4 linked regions of the Drosophila melanogaster genome follow. The protein of the gene in region 2 interacts with the protein of the main gene of each other region in a pairwise test. Each region holds a gene or a part of one and is shown on either strand. Other genes may lie near its edges. The genes, in order: SmydA-8, unk, CG5011 and CG4766.

What was found.
Region 1: the proteins of unk (region 2) and SmydA-8 interact in a two-hybrid assay, tested with the Drosophila melanogaster proteins (one large-scale study listed by BioGRID).
Region 3: the proteins of unk (region 2) and CG5011 interact in a two-hybrid assay, tested with the Drosophila melanogaster proteins (one large-scale study listed by BioGRID).
Region 4: the proteins of unk (region 2) and CG4766 interact in a two-hybrid assay, tested with the Drosophila melanogaster proteins (one large-scale study listed by BioGRID).

What each region holds. Positions count from the first base shown.
Region 1 is NC_004354.4:2,204,994-2,210,673, reverse strand, and holds SmydA-8 (SET and MYND domain containing, arthropod-specific, member 8), read left to right. Parts: upstream 1-1,995; 5' UTR 1,996-2,189; coding exon 2,190-3,140; intron 3,141-4,210; coding exon 4,211-4,648; 3' UTR 4,649-5,159; downstream 5,160-5,680.
Region 2 is NT_033777.3:23,151,858-23,159,898, reverse strand, and holds unk (unkempt), read left to right. Parts: upstream 1-2,036; 5' UTR 2,037-2,055; coding exon 2,056-2,120; intron 2,121-2,188; coding exon 2,189-2,398; intron 2,399-3,405; coding exon 3,406-3,825; intron 3,826-3,887; coding exon 3,888-4,090; intron 4,091-4,349; coding exon 4,350-4,459; intron 4,460-4,658; coding exon 4,659-4,767; intron 4,768-4,928; coding exon 4,929-5,054; intron 5,055-5,124; coding exon 5,125-5,705; intron 5,706-5,761; coding exon 5,762-5,959; 3' UTR 5,960-7,807; downstream 7,808-8,041. Other genes in the region: VhaAC39-2 (vacuolar H[+] ATPase AC39 subunit 2), read left to right, coding at 660-1,345, 1,413-1,779. UniProt on the Drosophila melanogaster protein: Essential for late larval/early pupal development.
Region 3 is NT_033779.5:1,198,654-1,201,725, reverse strand, and holds CG5011 (uncharacterized protein), read right to left. Parts: upstream 1,056-3,072; 5' UTR 867-1,055; coding exon 624-866; 3' UTR 506-623; downstream 1-505. Other genes in the region: CG43349 (uncharacterized protein), read right to left, coding at 1,274-1,486; CG43348 (uncharacterized protein), read right to left, coding at 2,148-2,276; CG5139 (uncharacterized protein), read left to right, coding at 2,588-3,072.
Region 4 is NC_004354.4:5,996,992-6,002,583, forward strand, and holds CG4766 (uncharacterized protein), read right to left. Parts: upstream 3,807-5,592; 5' UTR 3,206-3,806; coding exon 3,003-3,205; intron 2,510-3,002; coding exon 1,956-2,509; intron 1,832-1,955; coding exon 1,482-1,831; 3' UTR 517-1,481; downstream 1-516.

The sequences.
Region 1 (5,680 bases), on a different chromosome or scaffold from region 2:
TTTTTTAGTTGTAACTTCGCAAAATGAAGACGCACAGATACGAAACATACTGTTTTTTGCAGCTGACAACCTCACCTAACGACCCATTTCATTTTTTAGATAATTTGGTAAAAATAATTTTTTGCGAAATTTTCACTTTTTTATAAGGGGTTACATCACGTTTTTTTTCGAAAAATGGTGAAATTTTAATATTTTTAGCTGGGAATGCCACTGGATAGGAAATTAAGCTACGAATTCAACAAGGTATGGCATTCCACATTTGATCGACTATTACAAAAGTTGTGGTTGTGCTAATGTAATAATATTTATCATGATAGCTTTAAAGGACTCATGGTCGATAATGCCCGAACGCACCCTATAATTTTTCAGTTGGTATTCACGCTTTTTGATATTTGGCATTCGAGTGCGTTCTATTCGCTTCATGCCGCTCAGTCTAGCTTCCGTTCGATTGGGCCAATAAAATGCGCGTAAAAGTGAAAATAGATTTGGAATGTGGGCGAACTATAAGTTGCTGGCGGTCCGTAGCAGGAGCAGGGAGAACGGAGGTCGTACGCTTTAGAACTGATTTACGTATTACCGCAGAGAATGGGCGTGGCAGGACGAACCTACTCCACTTTGGAACATGTGACAGTGCGTGACATTCGCGTCGGAAAGTGAACAGCTGGGAGTGGAGCCACCCCATTTTTGGTCATGGTCCTGGTACTGGTCCTTCTCCCCACCAGGTCACGTGTTGCGACGCTCACCTCGTTTTGCGGCCTGGTGTCTCCGACCCCTTGGCCCCTGGAACACGCAACTCATTGGCCAGCGAAGCCCTAATTTATGTCCCGGCCACACGCACTGCCATATGTAGTTAGACCCGCAGAAAGTGGGTTGCACTGCCAGCCAGGATTGTAGTACTCATTTCTTATTCTACGTTGTATGCATTTAGGCAACACTCTCCAGGGCTTACAGTCCTATCCATGAGCGGCCTATTACGTCGTGCACTCATTTTTGGCCAGTGTAGCAGCGTGGGAGACAAACACGCTTGGTATCAATGGCGCTGCATCTCCACAAATAATTTTGCCAACCGTTCAGATTGTCGTAGGGCGACAGAAATCGGATGAAGATGGTGATAGCGATGGGATGGGGGTGGAGGTGGGGATGAGATGGGGTGGGTGGTGCTCCTATGGCTTCGTTTCAGTTTATGGCGTCCATAACCAACCGCAAGCAGACTTCGGTGAAGGGGGCTGGGGGTTTCAGCCACAGTGAGGTGTTTGGCGAACAAATTGACAGTGGGAAATGTTCTTTGATGGCTGAATGGCTGATGGCTGATGGCTGCATCAGTGCCTTTCACTATGCCCCTCGCGATCGTCAACCCCCGATGGACGCCCACTAGCGAATCCAATTGAACGCAACAATAGCAACCACAGCAGCGGCAGCAACAACCACACGGCAACAACAGCTCAAGCACAAATTGAATAAGAGTCAAAAGCAAAATCCGCTTTGCGTCGTCCCAGCCAAATGTCTCTATTTCCCAGTGGCGCACCAAGTGGCTCCACGTTCCCGACTCCGAAAACGTTTCGAAACCGCTTATCGCGGAATCAAAACTTTTGGCTTCTCACAAAAAGTGTTGAACTTTTGTGTCAAGCTGCCTAAAAATAGCCCGAATTTTGGCCAAAACAATGAACACAATGCTCAAGTTCTTTCCTTCGGGGAAAATGTTATTTTGGATTTCGTAAATGGGAACTTGGCGGCGAGTGTGTGTGCTTTCAGTGTGCGTGTGCCTTGGAAAAAATCATATTTGACTGTTGTCGCTGTTGTCCCCTTGCCCCCCCATTTCCCGTTCCTCACCTCCCGGCCCCTTTCGTCAATCGCCTTCCCCCGTTCCCTGGTGGATGCCTCTAATTTGTGTTTTTTTAGTTGTGTCTAATGCTCTCCGAGGGCGTCGGTGTGTCCACGTCATAAGCGTCGCTGCTTTGCTGGGTTGCTTCCACTGTCGGCAGTCAGTTGTTGCTGTTGTTGCTGATGTGCTGGGTGGTGTTGCTGCTGCTGCTGCCGCTGCTCATGTTGCTGCTGTCGTCGCTGTCGCCACTATATCGTTGCTATTCCCGCGTAGTCCGCCCAGCTGCGCGGAGACATCTTCACTCGCCGAGTTGCCGCGCGTCGCGTTGGTTCGCCGCAGTTCCGACCGACCTCCCACCGCAGTCGCCATGTCTACTGCTGCCCAGTGCCCGCCTCCTCGCCCAGGCGGTGGTGGAGGAGACACCACACTGGCCGCCCTGAGCGCTCACATGGCCCCTTGTCGCGACACCACGCCCGAGCAGCTGGCGCAGCTGATAGACGTCCACTTGGGGGATCTGCGCCAAGAGCAGCCCAACTGGACCATCAGCTCCTCCACGGTGGCAGGTCGTGGGGTGTTTGCCACCCGAGACATAGCCGCCGGCGAGCTGATCTTCCAGGAGCGAGCCCTAGTCACCGGTCCGACGGCGAGAAAGGGCCAACTGAGCAGCTGCATCTGCTGTCATGAGACCCTGCCGCAAACGGGATTCCTTTGCCGGCATCGCTGCACCCTGCCCGTATGCGAAACCTGTTCGGATTCCGAGGAGCACCAGGCGGAGTGCGAGCACTTCCGTCGCTGGCAGCCCAAAGACGTGGATGCGGAGCAGGAGCAGGTGAATCCTATGTCGCTGAGGATCCTCACCGCAGTGAGGGTCTTCCACTTGGGCAAGGAACAGCGGCATCTGGTGGACGCCATGCAAGCGAATGCGGAGCGCGCTTACCGGCGGGAGATCATCCAGGCGGCCCAATGCTTCCGGAACTTCCCCACCACGGATCGGGTGTTCATGGACCAGCTGTTCCGGATCGTGGGCGTGCTCAATACAAATGCCTTCGAGGCTCCTTGCCGCTCTGGCGGCCACGAGACGCTACTGCGGGGTCTGTTCCCGCTCACGGCGATCATGAACCACGAGTGCACCCCGAACGCTAGTCACTACTTCGAAAACGGTCGACTGGCGGTGGTTCGGGCTGCGCGCGATATTCCCAAGGGCGGTGAGATTACCACGACCTACACCAAGATCCTCTGGGGCAACCTCACCCGGAATATCTTCCTCAAGATGACCAAGCACTTTGCCTGCGACTGCGTGAGGTGTCACGACAATACTGTGAGTACGGTACCAATAGGAATCCTGGTCTCCTTGGGTAATCCCTCCTCCCACCATCTGCAAGCTTAGCTTCTGACTATGGTCATTTCTAGGCTGATGGAGTTTCTTCATGGTTAATAGCAATCTTCGCCAAACTTTCCACCAATCCTCTTTTTCTGAACCTACCTGATAGCTATCATTCTCCCTATCCGCCATCTGCATCGCGACCATCGCAATATATTTGTCCCAAAACAAAAAACAATAATTGCAATTTGAAAAGCTCTGAATTTCGGGCACATTTCTTGGCCAACGCCGATGTCACCGGCGTTGTGAAAGTGCGCGTGTGGTAGGGATGTGAGTGGCATGGGCATATATGTATGTACGTACGCGATCCACATATCCGGCCGGCCACATCTATTTATGTGGCCGCTCTCTGCCGCTCTGGGATGAGTTGAATAATGGCCTCTGGCGTTGGCAGTGGCCGCCGCTGGCCAGGCCCCCTGACACAAATGCGTTCCCTAATTAAATTAGTTATATGATTTGCATCAACCAGGGCCCAGGGGCGCGCCCAAGGGGGGGTGTCCATCAAGTGGGCAAAGGGGCAACATTTGGTAACAGGCACACGCACTTTTCCCTGCTAAAATGACTGCCTGATGGGCATAGTAACAAAATTACTTGTTGGGAGTTGGGTGAGCTTGAGACATCTTTGTCACAGCCCTGCAGTCGTTGGACAGTTCCATTCTTGCTATTAAATATACACCTTAAACGCACTCTTGTTCAAGACCTCCGAGGCATACATTATCAGTCCATTGATCCTATTTGCCTATATGCCTTTAATGTGGGCATCCAAAGTTCCCGGGCTACTAACACACACCCCCAAAATTTACATGAGCATGACACACAGAATGTTAATTTTGATTTCGATTCTGATTTCGATTTCGATTTCCATTTCGATTCGGAGTGGAACCAACTGTACGCCGTGAATGGACAGAGGCGGACGTGAACCCGCCGGATCTTTGACTGCAGATTCCACCCCCGATTTCCTGATTCCCCCCAAGTCCTTCGATTCACTGACCATTGTCTTCTTGCAGGAAAACGGCACCTACTTGTCGGCGCTTTTCTGCCGGGAACAGGGCTGCCGTGGCCTGGTGATTCCCGTCCAGACTCGGACACTGCAGCCGGACTGGCGGTGCATCACTTGCGAGAACGTGTTCCCGCACGCAAAGATGGCCAAGTACCAGGACTTCGCGCTGAACACCATCAATAACCGTATCAACTCGTGCAGTGTCCAGGACATGATCCACTTCATCAACGAGCTGTGTCCGCGCTTCTGTCCCTCCTCGAACTACGTGCTGATCGAGGCCAAGCTGAATGTGATCTGGAGGATGACGCGGTTCGACCACGAGGAGTACACTCCGGAGGAGATGGGCCACATGGATCGCTACCGCGAGGAAGTGTTGGCCATCCTCCACAAGCTGGGAGCCGGAGAGTGTACCCTAAAGAAGCTGATCACCGGGGAGATTCAGTGATTCATATTTAGCTTCAAAACTTCATTTTTTTTTTTTTAGGTGTGAATGAGTGAGTGCTTTTGTGAATGCGTACTTTTCGGGGTGGCGTGAATCGCATCCGAGCCCTTTGTTGCTATTTTATTCGTAGTCACTTAAGAATCCAATAAACACCGAATCCTTTCGAACTATATCTGCAATCCGTTCTGTATGTGGACCCCTTTCGAGGAACGCCTCTGTGCCCTGACAATAAATATGAATAGCCAACTAGCCACGAAGATCACCGGTCTGCGATTGACCAACAAGTTGAAAATTGCCACGATGTAGATTCTCTGGGCTCTCATTCGTTTTTTTGGGATCGTCTTGGCAAGCACTGTAGTATGTGAAAGGAATGCTGTGTTGACGAGGAGCAAGTCGACTGGGCAGTATGTATATGGCATGTGATTTATATGGTACATGGATTATCTATTGCATTTCTGGGGCTATTGGCCAAAACTGATTGCAGTAATCTTAACGCGTATGAATTTCTAGAGCCTGTATCTTTCGTATTTGATTTCGTAAAAAATAGATTGTTTCAAGCACAACGCTACTTACCCGCACATTTCATATTCCCATTGTCAGGGGCATGTGTGGTTTTTCAGCCAATCGATTTCAAAATGGACTTTTGTGGTTTTCTGTTGTTGTACAAAAGCTTTCTTTAATGGCGCATACACAGACGGACACACACGCACAGGCATACAGTCATAATAGAATAACAATAATTTGGTATGGGTACATGTACGTGTAGGCATACATTTGCATGCACTTGCAATGGGGGCCTTTAATGGGGTCTGGGGTCAGGGGTCAGGGGTCTGGGGTCTGGGGTCAGAGGTCATGGCTCGGGGGACAGAAGCCGGCGGTTCGGTGACAGTCGCCCGTACACAATTATTCGGATATGCCATAGCTGCGGCATACACGCATACCTCGGTACATGGCTGGCCTAGGTCTAGGACTTAATCTAACCAAGTGTCGTGTGCATCAGTACGTATCTAGATTTATAGTTACAGTAGAAAAAAA
Region 2 (8,041 bases):
AACAAAGGCCGGGCGAGAAATTCACATGTTTATTTGTTCTAGTTGAATGAACGTGTAACAACTTGCAGTTAGTATGCTATTGGCCCGAGCGCAGCTAGTTGACTGAGTAAACAAACAGAGTTGGCAGCAAGTAAACAAATGGCCCAGAGCAACAGGTAATTTCCGTACAGCATCCTCCAGGCGCATGTGCGGAAATTGCGTTAGAATGGGCCGATAAATAGCTATCTGAAATTCAAATAGCAAGCTTTAACTAGGTGCATTTTCTTATAACTAAAATAATCTAGTTGGATGCACTTTAAAACGAACAAACCAAACAAATAATATCTTTTCAAATTTAAAGTTAAAATTTAAAAAACCGTTAGAGCGCTGCCATATTGTCAAAAAGGATAAACGAATGGCAGCCTTGCACCATCGGTAGCGCCATCTAGCGTGCATCGGTAGATACCGCCACCGAATATTTAAATATTATATATAAATATATTTGTAGCTTAATAAATATTATTTTAGCATCTAGAATCCTTAGTATTTATATCAGAATCAGTTCATCCGAGAAATACCTATCACCGCATGTTCCATCTATCAATTTCTGCTTTCACTTAAAAGTTGCCTGGCGTGTGAATTCCTACTAATAGATAGCTCGAAAATAATAATAAGTCAAAATGTCGATGATATTCAACACGGAGTATGGCTACCTGGAGGCCCTAACGCGCGGATTCAAGAACGGCATGCTAAAGCACTCGGACTATCTAAATCTGACCCAGTGTGAATCCCTCGAGGACGTAATGATCAGCATCCAGGGCACGGATTACGGTCTCATCTTTGGTGGCGAACAATCAGCGCCGTCCGTTGAGGTGATCGAAAGATGCCTTAGGGATCGTCTGCTGCAGCAATACTACTACATACGCAGTCATTCGACGGAGCCGCTGACCACCTTTATGGAGTTCATACGATATCCGTTCATGATCGATAATGTGGCGCTTCTGGTCGCTGGCCTAAACAATCACCGATCCATGAAGCGTCTGCTAAGAATGTGTCATCCGCTGGGCGAATTCGATCAACTGGGCGCCATCGAAGTGGCCTCGAATTCTGCGGAGCTCTTCGACGCCGTTCTAATTGACACGCCCATCGCTCGGTTTGTGCCACGCGATTTGCCCATGGAGTCGTTGCGTTACCTCGACGTGGAGATTGTGCGTGCCCATCTGTATCGTGCTTATTTGGAGAAATTCTACGCCTATTGCAGCCAACTGGGCGGCAATACCGCCAACGTGATGACCAATCTATTGTCCTTCGAGGCGGATCGTCGGACCATTACAATAGCTGTGAACGCTATTGGCAGTGATATCATGTAAGATATCTGTGTTGCTATGAAATTCTTCATATTATACTCATAATGCCCACCTTCCAACACTCAGACCGAAGGAGCGTCTAAAGATGTTCCCCACCTGTGGCTACCTGCCCAAAATAGCCTTGGCCTCCATGTCCACTTTAAATGATACGGATAAAATAAGGGATGTTTGCAATGTGTTCGATGGCTATGGCAAAATGTTTGACAATTTGGAGCGCGACTCGGACGGCATGATTACGCTGGAGGACCGCTTTCTCATGATGGAGGCCAAGAAGAATGTGCAGACCTTCCTGCAGCAGTACCATTTCGGGATCTTCTACTCGTTCATTAAACTTAAACAGTTGGAGGTACGCAATATCGTCTGGATTAGCGAATGCATAGCGCAGCGACAGACGGACAGAATCAACGCCTTCATTCCCATACCCTTGGACTAGAAACGCTTTTGCTTTCCTTCTTCGAAATGTTTTCCCTTTGAAATGTGTGTTATAATATATAGGCGTTGTTATAAATAAAACACATGCATAACAATTTCGCATTAATTTTGGCGCCAAATTTGTTTCGTTTGCGTCCCGGCTAACCACCCATCAACTGGGGTGTGTGTATTTGCTAACCAATCGATATGGACGATGCCGACAAAAATTATCGATATCAATCGACTTAAGGCCATGGATGCCCGACGCACCGATGTTTTTTGCACATCACTAACAACGATGTTGGCAAATGAAACGAACAAGCTGCTGCTTTCCTCGCAGCAGGAAAAACCAAATCACTACACGTAAATAGATGCTAACTAATGCAAACGATGGTTAATTTGACGTGCAACCTTTCCGCCAACCGTTTCAGCTACCTGAAGGAGTTCCGCGTGGAGCAGTGCCAGTCGTTTTTACAGCACAAGTGCAACCAGCATCGCCCCTTCGTCTGTTTCAATTGGCATTTTCAAAACCAGCGTCGGCGTCGTCCAGTGCGAAAACGCGATGGCACCTTCAACTACAGTGCGGATAACTATTGCACCAAATACGACGAGACCACTGGGATTTGTCCCGAGGGCGACGAGTGAGTAGAAATGTTGTGAAATTCATAGTTTCTGATGGCCCGTGAAAACGCTGGACGGGACGATTGCAGTGGCGGAGGATGGATGAGACAGCAATAGCGAACGACGTTGTATTTTTTTTGTTTCCTCTTTGCGCTCTCCTTCCTTCGCGATGTGTGTGTATCTCTTGTCTTCGTGTTTACAAACAAAAACCATAGTGTGTTTGTGTGCAGGGGGGTGTGGTGGGGGCGGTGGCAGGGGCCTGGCGTTGTCTGGAAAGCCAAAAGTGAAATTGTAAGTGCGTATGTGGGCGTGCTGCTTGCTGTATCTCTGTGCATGTGTATGTGTGTGCAGGCGAGGTCACCACCGTGCAAAAGTGAAAGTGATTCCAGCTCTAGTGGGCTAGCAAATTCTTATCAGCATCCGTTTTGTGGTGGTTGTTGCTCTCTTGTCGCATGTATACATGCACAGACGCTCGCATACACACAGGTACGCACAAACAAACACACGCACAGACGTAGGGCATCGCTACAAGTGTGTGCGTCATTGTTTTTATTGCGTTTCGCTTTTGCGTGTTTTCTTCTTCGTTTATTTTGATTTTCCCCCGGCAGCTTCGAAATGTACAGTTATTGTGGCTGGCGAGCTTTGGAGAAAAGCTCTGTGAAGTGTAAGAACGGGCTAAAAGTAAAACGCAATTACGCTTTGCGAGAGACAACAACAATGTCTGTTTTTATGACCCAGACTCGAGGTCCAACCTCTGACCCCGACCTCCATTCTATCCATTTATCGTTGTAGTCTCCTTACAGGGTACGAAGGTGGAAAGAAAGCGGTTTTAGTTTTGAAAGAGAAATTTCTTTTACTTATTAAAGAAATACCCTCAAACATGTATTAAAATGATGATTTTGCTGTAAATGTACAACTTTGTTGTTTTTTGTTACGGTTCTTTTTAATTAATGGGTATCATACAGTCCATTCACTTAGCCTCGTCGCCTGCTTTGACGTCACTAAAACTCCCTTTCTCCCCATTTAGATGCCCCTACTTACACCGCACTGCTGGCGACACCGAAAGGCGATACCATCTGCGCTACTACAAGACATGCATGTGCGTCCACGACACCGACAGCCGAGGATACTGCGTCAAGAATGGACTACACTGCGCCTTCGCCCACGGCATGCAGGACCAGCGCCCACCGGTTTATGACATCAAAGAGCTGGAGACCCTGCAGAACGCAGAGAGCACACTGGACAGCACTAATGCTTTGAATGCCCTGGACAAGGAGCGCAATTTGATGAACGAGGATCCCAAGTGGCAGGACACCAACTACGTGCTGGCCAATTACAAGACAGAGCCCTGCAAGCGCCCACCGCGCCTGTGCCGCCAAGGATACGCTTGTCCACAGTACCACAATAGCAAGGACAAACGTCGCTCGCCCAGAAAATACAAGTACAGGTAAGATTTCCCCTGAATTCATCCTAAAGTCAGTTTTAAACCGCGATATACCATTGTTTTAGGTCCACTCCTTGCCCCAATGTCAAGCACGGCGAGGAATGGGGAGAACCGGGCAACTGCGAGGCCGGCGATAACTGCCAGTACTGCCACACACGCACCGAGCAGCAGTTCCACCCGGAGATCTACAAGTCGACCAAGTGCAACGATGTCCAGCAGGCCGGATACTGTCCGCGCAGCGTCTTCTGCGCCTTTGCCCATGTGGAACGTAAGTATAGAGGATTCGATGAGCTAATATATAGGACTCAGCGTTGTGCTCCACAACCAGTTGTTGTAGGGATGTGTTTAGGGCCAAGTTATGATATTACAGTTCTAACTTAATGTTTGTCTTTTACTCGCCTCATCCATCAAACCGCAAATCTGTTTCCAACTATCACTCAAATCCTTTGAAAACACGTACATCAATCAATGTTTGCTTTGCCGCTCGGTGTTGCTTGTCCATGTAACTACTCCCAATCCAAATAAAGCATGTTCAATTGACGAGAAGACGCGGGATCACACGGTATACCTAAACGAGCTTATTTCCAATGCCTATCCTGATTTAAAAGCTCAGGATGCGTTTCAAAGGGTCGATAATGTACGTATTACCGAAGCAATAACACTCATCCAAATAACGCCATCGATTTGCATCGCCTAAACCTAAACGTACTACCACACATCGTTTGCCGCTCTAATCCAGCTAACCATCATCAACTAACTGCTTAACACTTTCGATAAGCCATTTAATCATGTGTCCTGCTCTCCTCGATTTTTTTCTTTTCGTTTTGTTCTCTTAGTTGTTGAACATTGATGGTAATAGCACCAATAAAATGTTGGTAGACGCTTTGGAAAACACAACAAATTTCAGCAAATTTTTAAGTTTCTCACGACCCCTGGACAGTCGTTGTGAGTATCCCAGAGTCCTGACATGCGTACGTCTAAGTTATACACTAGAAATCAGTTCTTCGTTTTGGTTGTGGACAAAGAATGTCAGCGCTTAGATAGCAAATGTCGTGACCCCTAGCCTAACTGAAATTCAATAATTTTTTGTCTTCACTCTTTGCAAGCAGCTTGCTCAATGGACGATCCGCGCGAGAACTCATTGTCGGCGAGTCTGGCCAATACTAGCTTATTAACACGTTCCTCGGCGCCAATTAACATTCCTAATACGACTCTAAGTAACTCAATTAACGGTAAGTAGTCATCAACGTCCTATGAGTGCCAACTAATTGCTAATGCTAATACTCCATTCCATTTGCACAGATTTTAACTCAGGTAGCTTTGCCGTCAACATTCCCAGCAGCTCGCTCACCTACAGTCCCACCAACCATGCCAATCTCTTCAACGTGGACGCCTTCAACTATGGCGGCTCAAACAAACTCAGCAATTCCCTTTCGGCCACCCAGAACGATAGCAGTCTCTTCTTTCCGTCGCGCATCATATCGCCTGGCTTTGGCGATGGCTTGTCGATTAGTCCTTCGGTAAGGATATCCGAATTGAATACCATACGCGACGACATCAACAGCAGCTCGGTGGGAAATAGTCTGTTCGAGAACACTCTCAATACGGCCAAGAATGCGTTTAGCCTTCAATCTCTGCAGTCGCAAAACAACAGCGACTTGGGTCGCATCACCAATGAGCTGCTCACGAAGAATGCTCAAATTCACAAGTTGAACGGACGTTTCGAGGACATGGCATGCAAGCTAAAGATCGCGGAGCTCCATCGGGACAAGGCCAAGCAGGAGGCGCAGGAGTGGAAGGAGCGCTATGACCTAGCACAGATACAGCTAAATTTGCCAGCAGAGCTTCGGGACTTGTCCATACAGAAATTGAAGCAATTGCAGGTTAGTCGCTTAATTAATTTCCCAATTCCATGGGTTTTAACCTGCTACCATTTTAGTCCAAGCTGCGCACCGACTTGGAGGAGGTCGACAAAGTATTATATTTAGAAAATGCCAAGAAGTGCATGAAGTGCGAGGAGAACAATCGCACGGTTACTCTGGAGCCGTGCAACCACCTGTCTATTTGCAATACATGCGCTGAATCGGTCACCGAGTGTCCCTACTGTCAGGTGCCGGTAATAACCACCCACACCTAGAACATGTTTTATCAGCAACAGGACCACAAGTGGCCCTTTGGCTGAAAATCGGATAGGGATGGGAAAGGGGATTCCGATGGGATATGAATGGATCATGGGGATCAAGACCGCGAACAGCATGACAATGTGGTACTCACAAAGCAAACTTTAGTCTTAAGCAAAACGTTGAAACTTTTGAACAGTTAGGATTTGACACATGCCTACTAATTGTGCATGTGGCAGGGAATATATAATTTATGTTTTCAATCTACTCAAAATATGCAAATTATCGTCATGAATATTAGTAATTACTAGGCACAAACTATTAATTGAATTAGCTAGCTGCTCTAAACGAATAAGTATGTAATTTTATTTTTGTTTATTTTTTCTCATATCGAATCGAATACAGGAAAAAACATTTTAAATTGATTTTGTACTATGATTTATGTAACCAACTCTTTTAATTTTGTTTAATATTCAATGTTTAGGCATACATATTTTCTAATCTACTGCACGAATTTGCAATGTCTCATTTATTTTTTTTTTAACCACATATGTATCTCTATATTTGTATTTAAATATGCTACACTTTCAGTCATATTGTACTTTTCACTAGTATTACATAAGAAATTATGAGAACTAAACAATTACAAGATGTAATTGAATGAAAGATATATAAATATATAATATATTAATTTTTCTAGACACTTTTAGCAATTGACTATTAACAAATTTATAGAAACCAACAAATTTAACAATATATTGTCGCATAGAAGAGCAGAAAACAACCACAAACAAACAAATACCACCAGTGATTTTATATAAGCCGATTTTCAAACTGTATTTTTTATGTATGTGTTTCAAACTTGTGAATGCAAACTACAACTAAAAGCCAAGACAATGGTCATAAAATCAATGTAACTGACGGGTAATCAATATTAGTCAGTACTCAGCTTTTATTTTCCTTTTTCAAATGCACAAAAGTAATTATAGACGTTGAAACGAGAAGTAACTAAAGGCGACAACGCTTTTCCTTATCGAAAGTTCATTTCATTTTGTCTTATTGAAAACCAAGTTGAATGTATTAAAACACTTTGATTTTTGTTTAGGCCTTGGTGCAGCTCGTGTAAGCCAATGCCAATTAACCAGTCACAAAATTATCAACTTACGTATATAATCTATTAGGTTACTTTGTGATTTGAATAGTGCTTTAAGTACTTACTTTGCAGATGACTTCAATTTTCATTTTACTTTCATAGTCTCAACTGGACGCTTCCAAATTAGTAAAAGCATAAAATGAATCGTCAATGTCAAAACGTAGTATTTAAGTCATATTAAATCCAGCATTTGGCTGATTGTACAAGAACGAATATGAACAGATATATATTTATGGGAAATTTGAACGCAGATTCGATGAGTGTGATGTTGAAAGCATAAACAATAAAAGTAACTCGATACAGCGAAATGAACAGAGTTTAATGAAAATGTTAACCAGAGTTAATGTAAAACCGTCTTCAAAAACCATTGTATTTTTCTGCGAATTAAAATTATCAAACGTAATCAATTGGACAATGTTGAATGAAACTGAAACGTGTTGTTAGCTAGTTGAGTTGAATTGATAAAGATGTAATCAAAATGAAACTGTTCTGGGAATGAATTGAATATGAATATGAAATCAACATAGGCATTTATTTGAAACAAAAGCAACACTATGAATATATATATACAAATGAAAAACTGAATTATATTATTACAAAGCTAACTAGGAAAGGCAGCGCAAAGGCTCTTATCTCTGTGTGTGTTTGTACTATGTTTTGTAGAAGCCAAATCAGCAAGAAATACAAATAATTAATAAATATAACAATAAACAATTGTGTGTTAACTTATAAATGCTTTAATAGTTTATGATACAAGTGTACACAAAAAAACTAAAAATCACGAGAACAAACAATGAGAAAATTGGTTTTATAATGGAGCTGTTGAGTCGCAAATCTATTGTGTGTATTACCAAACTAAACTGAAAACTGAATGCATACCTCTCTCAGAATATCACTGACTCTCATCACCGGAGACACAGTTTGAAAGATTTGCTAATTTACTTTA
Region 3 (3,072 bases), on a different chromosome or scaffold from region 2:
TGCGTATTTCCTATCGATAAGATTGCACAGCTTTATCTAGCGTTGAGTTGAAGTAACTCATTGATAAGGTTTACAACAGGTTTATATGCATGATTACTAATAGTTCAGCGTTCAAAATAAAAACAAAAATATTATTCTTGAACAAATGGAATGGAAAAGAGCCAATAAATCAAAGATATGCTCAGTTAAGAATTCATGACATTCGACTAATACGATAAGCCCACGTATTAATAAAGAATCCAGTGATTGATTGACTGATTGATTGATTGTTTTCCTAGTGAAATATTAGTAATGACGTGTTACCTCAAGAATTTGATAGTACCCGAAAATAAGCTATCATAACGCACCTAAAGAATGACGACTTTTTCAATGGATTATCTTTATGACGGTCCTATGGGAATTCCAAAAAACCGTCCTTATCTTATTAGGCGCATATATCATCATACTCGAAATGGGATTGTTTGTTGGCATAGAAGCTACAAGTAATAAAACTTGAATCACACATAGGCGTGACTAACTAAAGTTAGTTTATATATTTAAAAGCAGCATATTTTTTAATCACACACAAATGTACATTTGTTGATATCACACTATATTAACCGATCTAGATTACAGTTCAGTTCTTATCGCGGATGCATTGGAGGTCCTGGGGCCACGTATCCTGGACCATATGGATACGGACCATGCGGCGGCGGAGGATTGTAGCCGGAGCTGTTTCCGTGAGGAGGTTCGTGGTAAATCGGATGCACTGGCGTGTGGAACGGGGGCTGTGGTTCATGGTGCGGAGGTCCATGGTGCGGTGGTCCGTGGGGCGGTGGCCCATGAGGCGGCGGGTTGTGGTGGTGGTGCGGTGGTGGAGGAGGCATCTTTGCTTGGCGGGCTTCTGTTGTACACTAAACTGGCTCACTCCTGCCAGACCTTTTATACAAAAGTAACATAGTTTCAGTAGGCTGTAATCTTATCTGCATTCTAGTGGAGAGGGACTTTCTTTTATATATAATTGTCTACCTTATCTGCTGGCTTTTTGATACTTAATCATACTTAATCAATTCTTGCTTCAATATTCTTCTAATTGCTTATTAGAATCAGTATCTTTATAATGGTGTTATAAAATTAAACAATTTCTAAAATAAAAACATTTTGCTCTTGGTGAAACTAACTAGAAGTTAGTGAAGATATTTTAATGTTAGTTTGTGGCTTAATCACAGTTAACGATTAAGTTTTTCCATATCAGTTTATAACGTTAAATTCGGCTTATATTGTATTATAGTTCTCATCGAGGATGCATTGGAGGACCGTGGTGTGGTGGTCCATGATGATGGTGGTCGTGGTGCGGAGGTCCATGGTGCGGCGGTCCGTGGTGTGGTGGCCCGTGATGCGGTGGCCCGTGGTGTGGAGGACCATGGTGCGGTGGCCCATGGTGGGGAGGTCCATGGTGTGGTGGCCCATGATGATGGTGGTGGTCGTGGTGCGGTGGAGGTGGCATCTTGACTTTTCTGACTTTAGTTGAGTACTAAGCTAAAGCCTATCCTGTCAAACCATTTATAGGAAAATGATTCGAATACGTTGTAATCTTATCTAAATTTCAGATAAGACGAGCCCAGTTCGGTTGATAAGTAAGTTTCGGGTTTTCCCACAACAACACTTCGCTCAATAAAAACAAATGTATGACATTCGAAATTAGTAATAACAAACAAGCGAATTGTTTACTGATATGTCTATATGTGACTTAAAGAATAAGTTAATGACGACTTTGCATGTAGTTCATAAGTACAACAATATGGAGATGTTATAATATTTTATTTTTGTAAGCAACAATCAGCAACAATCAGCAACAAATTCTTAAGCTTAGTACGTTGCACTTAGGACGTGTATTATAATTTAAAAAGCATTTAGATCTTCAAATCATATGTATGCTTTGTTCAAATTAATGGAAGCTTAGAATGCATTAAGCAGTATCACCAATTCAAGATCATAAACATTGAAGATATAGAAAAGAGTAGAGCTATGTATTTTGTACAGGCTTTTATTTCTTTGGTTTGAAGAGTTTTTAAGACTTTCTATTAGAAACTAAGTTCCCTAAAAAGTATCCATCTTGTTTTGTTCTGTATAAAATTGAATCTTATTTATAGTCCTTGTCCATGGGCCTAGTGATGTCCGTGATGGGGCTTCGGATCTCCGTGGTGAGGGGGATGCGGTCCTGGTTGGTGATCCCCAGGATGCGCAGGACCCTTCGGTGGGTGCGGTTGGTGGGGCTGGTGCGGTGGTGGTGGCATGTTTCCAAAGCGATTTCCGTTCTGAACTAAAGTATTACCCCGATTTCCACGCTATATATAGTGACGAAAGACTGCTGGAGGCATTGGTTTTCCCATTAAAACATTTTATCAGCCTGTTTTGCGATAAGGTGAGTACTTGGTGGTCATATCGGAATTTCCCTATGACAACGCAACGAGAAAATCACACATCTAGCTTCCCTGATTTTTCAATCGAACAGGATTTGTATATTCGTATGATCTTTTGAAGTGGGAGGAGTGTGCATTCTTGTATTCAAATTTTTTATTGTATAAAATTTTCTCGTGAACAAATTATGGAAAAGAATCTGTGGAATACGCTGCAGGAAGTCGAGCAAGTCGAGGTTGCTTTTAAGCAGACCTTGAGAAACATTACCGATATCCAGAACCGATACAAAACGGTTTCGGCCTTGAAGAGCAAGGCCTCCAGGCGCCAGGAATCCTTCGAGGCGGAGATCCAAGGTGCCATTACAGCACCCAATCCTGCCAAGAAAAGGAGGGTGGTCAAGAAGAGCAAGATCAATATCTTGAAACAGAGGAGTCTGCTACCAATGCCAGTACCCAATCTCAGATCGGAAACTATCCTGCAGGTGGAGGAGCCTTTTGTGTGTCTCGAAACGAATTGCGTCTACGAAATACACAAGACAACCACTCACCTGATGGCGCGGAAACCATATGGAGCTCTCATCCGGCGACTGTATCGGTCAGCCAGGCGGAAGAGGATGTACGACCAGGAGCAGGAACAGGATCAGGAACAGGTTGAGGAACAGGATCTGTATCC
Region 4 (5,592 bases), on a different chromosome or scaffold from region 2:
TCCAAAAAAAAAGAAAGAAAGAAAAAAAAAAACGAAAAATAATAAAGTAAAGCGAAGGGACAAAAGAACCGCAGAACAAAGCAGGCAAACCACTCGGTTTTCGTGGATCCAGCCCCCGCCAGAAAATAACCATAAATAAGGGTAATAAAAGTGATGCTCAGTTGTCGCTGCAGCAGCTGCATCTTCCCAGCCTCAGATCCCAAGACGATTCCGATCCACATCCAGATCCAGATATGTCGTCGTTTGCAAATAAATATTCGCCACTGCCAATAATCATAACATTAACTCAACCGCCGATCGAACTAATGAGATCCCAGCACATCCTTTCCAGATTTGTCCTTTTTTTGTGGTACATCTTCCGTTTGTCAGCCTCATTTAAATATATGAATATCAGTTAAGAACATCCATTTTTTAACTCTCCATGTTCTTTCAGCAAGTGTTGTGTAAGTATTTGCTAAGCAATCAAGTGATTTAAAATACAATCCCTATTGATAGGAAAACAATACCTGGAGTGTTGCCTTTGGCTATCCTTGAATTTATTCAAGCATTTTTTACATTAGCAATCTAGGATTATGTTGTACTTAAAACAAACTGCGGATAATCGTGGTAAATGTTAGGCATCGCATAATAGACATCGACATACATAAATATGTGTATATGTATATGTAAGTAGTAAAACAATGTTAAGTTGGACTTGGAACGATCAATGGAATCTGTATCTCCCTCTGTTCTAGCGCTATATGTATATATTATATATTTTTTGTATGTTCGTTTTGCTTTGATCTAGGATCTGCGAACTGTGAAACAATCGTATACGTCGAGTGTGTATAGCCACCGTGTAAAAGGAGCCGCCTGGACAAATGCTCTTTTTTCATTCTCTCGATTTTTCGATTTTTCCATCCGGACTTGCGAACCGGCGAGTCCATTGTTCGCCGGCCAAACAAAGGATGTGTCGTGAGCGTCGAGGGGCGAGTTATTAAAAACAATATTCGAGGCTTAGCCGGATCGCTTGGATGGGCAGATATATATCTCGAATCGCATCGAGTCGAGTTGAGTCGAGTCGAGTCGAGTCGAATGGGGAGTGGACTTATCTCGCATCTTCGCATTAACACTTTCGCACACACACACACACACACGCGCACGCACGCAGACAGTCACATATACACAGACATGGCACAAAATGGCCGCCAAGGAGCTGTGCTTATGCGTATGTATTTATTCGCATATGTACCTTTCATCTCCGACTTGCCTGGCACCTCATACACATCAGCACTCCCCCGACTTCGGATGGGTCGATATTTGCGTGACTGCAAGAAGAAGTTAGTCAAATCAACAATATGTGAATGGAGCAAAAGAATCTAATCTAACGGGTAAAAAAATAAGAACAATATTCACTCTATGAGTGCGGTTAATAATTATAAATTCCTGCCAAAAATGTCATCGCCATTATCGACCAGTCGTGACCTTTAACCTCTGACACCTTACAACTTCTCAAAGGCGTTGGCATTTGTGAGGAGCTCGCGGGTCAAGCGCCACACCTGCTTGGCCGCCTGCTCCAAAGCACTGGGGGATTTACCCTTGAACATGTCCAGTGCGGGAAGGAAGTAGTGGGGACAACGGCGATACTGCAGACAGGATATCAGCTGCAGGAATATCCCATTGATGCGGTCAGCGATGCAGCCCTCGTCCCACTCAAAGTCCCGCGGATGCTTCTCGCACTCGTAGAGCAGCAGGTTCTTCAGGTGATACGCACTGATGGGATTGCCTGGTAAATCCAGATGCCTGTCCCTCAGGGTCTTCAGCATGCTCAGACAACGTCGACGACAGCCACCTGAAAGGAATTCAATATGAGATTTAAATACACCAGATTTCAAATTCCCAAACTATACTAAAAGTTGCTAGTAAATTGTGTGATCTTTTCTGTAAGTGTAAAGGTGTATCCATAAGATGTTTACCTTGCAGCAGACGGTTTTCGGCCTCGAAGAAGCTGAGCACCCAGGCATCGCCCTCCATGCTGGCGGCATTGTTGTTCTTGTTCTGCATGATGACGCTCTCCTTGGACAGAAGATCGAAGCCCTCGGTCTTGACCTCCGCCACGATGTTGGGATGTGGCCACGGGAGATGTGGTACCGGCCAGTGGGCCGCCGATCTTGGCCAGATGCCTGAGCACTTAAATGCCGGCGTAATCTGGACCACGAATCGCTCCCGAATGCGCAACTTCACCTCGCTGGTGTCGCCCACCATTTTGACCATGTCGCGGTAGACACTTTTATCGCACGCCTGGGCCACCAGAGTCTGGAAACGGGCACGGATCTTCCGGGAGGACAAATAACCACTGGCCGTTATGAACTCCACCCACAGGGACATGGACCGCTTCCTTCCATCGCTCAGCTTCAGAACAGCACATCCCGGCAAGGTGCCATCGTCCACGAAATTGAAGACACCCATTTGATTCAGATACAGCACTATCTCGAATTCATTCGGGGATATCACTTCAACGCCCTCGAATCTGTAAAAGTGATGTTAACTATTTCGATGAAACCGCTTACTTACAATACTATATATATATTTTTAAATCTATATATTAATCTGATAGTTTATCGTGTTGAAATGAGTATAATAGGGGGCGACTGCTACTCCGTTTCTGGTGGCGAGACCTCGATGAGCATGACTTGTCAGTTAACTGACAATGACTCTGCACTTTGGTTGTAATGATCGCAATGGAGTGAAGAGGATCGGATTTGATTGCAATGGTGTGGAACTACTGGAGTGAGAAGTAGCCGCGATGACAGTCATCAGGGCACTGGAATTACCCAGATATCTTGTTGATGGCTCTGTGGTTGGGAACACTAGACATCTCTGATCGGATGAGCAGCTCTCGTTTTTATTAGCTAACTTATGCATCGGCTTAACATTAGGTAATATAGTTATTAATATATGGTTATTAAGAAACTAAAGAAAAGATACTGAGATACTAATGAAAAGATACTGAAAAAGTTTACCTGCCATTGCACTCGACGAGGCTGGAGATGAATCGCGGCTCCTGCAGTTCCACCTCTTTGAGGATGTCCTGGACGATCTTGCAGATCTCCCGGATGGCGGTGGCCGTCTTGTACATCCTGGCCTGAACCCTCTCCGTGCAGAATCGATTCATCTGATAGACCATGCGCGTCTGGGCGGCCATCATGTCCGGCGGCACCAGCATGGTACTCAGTTCGAGTTCCACCAAGCTCCAAAAGTACCAAAAGTACAACGATCTATCTGTAGATGTATCTTTTTACCGGCGACACTTGGTCTGGCGGCCAACTTAAAAGCCAGCCAATTATGCGAAATTCGGCAGCGGGTCTCCTTCTGGACGGGACAGAACAAAGGAACAATTCAATTGTGAGTTACGGTGACAGCAGAACCAACAATGGGCACAAGTGGAGCACGACGACGACGATGACCGCGGTGTACCGAGTATGTATATGGGTATTTTAGCTTTTGGCTCTTCAATTTTAGTAGCTGCTGCCCGCAGATACAGTATCTGCATTGGCGAATTGCTGACCGAATGATGCGCTGCGCTCAATAGCGATACCCCCAGCCTGATGCCGCTGCCGATGCCGATGCCGATTCCGAGTACGAATCGAAGTCAGCCAAACGATACTGATACCGATACCGAAGTCGCGGCTGGCTGGCGTTGTAAATCTCGCGGATATTTACAGCTTCGGGCAGATAAAAAAAAAAGCGCTGAAAGTGCAGTTTGGCCCGGCTGCAGCGAAGTATCTCAATATCCATGCCAGTATCTAACAAATCCGCCATCTCGGTGGCAGTGGCATGAATGGGACTCACAGGCTCAGATACACACAGCTGCACACACAAAGATACAGATACATGTCGGTGCTGTCACGTGACAGGGGTCTCTGTCTCGTGCCACGCATTCCGACGCTTAAAAAATCGATGAGATACTCGCCACAGGCCCCGCGTATCTGTCGTATCTGCCAGATGCACTTTGACAAAAATCTAGGCACTTTAAACGTTATAGATACAATTCTAATAGTAACTCTTTCTTAGTTGTTGTAGCAAAGAGCCACTTCTTCTTATCACAAATGTTATATTTTTCAAAGAAGAAATAGTTCGGTTATTTGATTTAATATAATTCCCTACTTAAGGTTCTGACTAAAATTACTAGTTAACATTAAAATAAAAAACACAAACAGAACTTCATTTTTCTGCGTGTACTAAAAACAAATACGCTCTCTGTCTGTCTCTCTGGCCTGCATGCGTATGGGTGTATCTATGGGGTTGCCTGCTTGTGTATCTGTGAGAGCGGCGCGTTGCCATTGGCCCGTCGAGGCCACGCCCCATTTGGCGGCCGTTACGCTGCGGCGCCCTCTTTGAAGTCTTGCGAGCCGCGGTGTGTGTATCTGTGTGTAAATTTAATTTGTTAAATACATTTCGGCCTGCCATCGCGTACAAGTTGTGTGCAATAATTTATCTGAAATGTGCACTCATTTAGCAAAGAGCAGCGAGCAACGAGCAACCCTCGTCCATGTCCCACGTTTGCCGGCCGATATCTTTATATCTCGCATCTCGCGGATACACAGATACATTTACACTCATAAATATGTCGCGTGGATTAATGTGCCAGTTGGCAATTTCTGACAGCGCTCTCAGTTCCAAGCGAGCAACTTCCTCCGTTCTCGGTTACCGCCTTTCCCCCTCTCCGTACGTCTTATATACCATATAATAATATGTACATCGTGTATACATACATATATGTAGTGTACTTGATGGACATGTGGCAAGATCAAAGCGCCCGTCGCCTCCTCCAATTAGACAAATCCCAAACGCAGCCACTAATTCGAGTGGAGGCAAAACACAAACCGAACACAATTGCCGACGACCAGCAGAATTTTCGCAGAAGGAAGCGGAAAAAAGGGGTCAAGCATCCCATGGTGACGGAAGTATCTAAAGACGTATCTGCAAGGTATGGATACAAAATGTTTAAGATACATACATATATGGAAAGAGATGCAGTGAACTAAAAGTTTTAAAAAACGTATAAGTTAGGAAATATATACAGCGAAATACTTAAAAAAAACTATATATCGAATATGATCAATTAGATGGCCCTTTAAACTAATTTTGGCCACTTAACGAAGGCCCACTGTATCTTTTGTTGGCTGTTAGGTCTTTTGTTCGGCTTTATTGACATCAATCAGTGGCAGTTTGAGCAGATCTAGCCATATCTAAATAGTATTCAGCCCATTCCAATTTGTTGGGGCCGTGAATCGTTGCTGTCAGCCGAATTTTAATGGAGCCCCAATGAATGGGATACGATTGGATGGGATACCATTTTAGAGAGAACGACGATGCCAGGTGCTCCTCACCACTCCATGGCATTTGGCTGATTTTTGGCGCGCTGGATTTCCACGTAACCAGATAGATGGAGGTGGCACTGGAACTCCTATCTAGATGCGCGCATATCTGCATAAATTTCAACAAACAGAGGAAACTAAAAAAAAGGCCACAACAAGGAGAACTACACAGTTTTTTTATTTTTTTTTCCAGTTTTTCGGTTTTCAGACCCAGGATCGTGGGTCTCGGGGT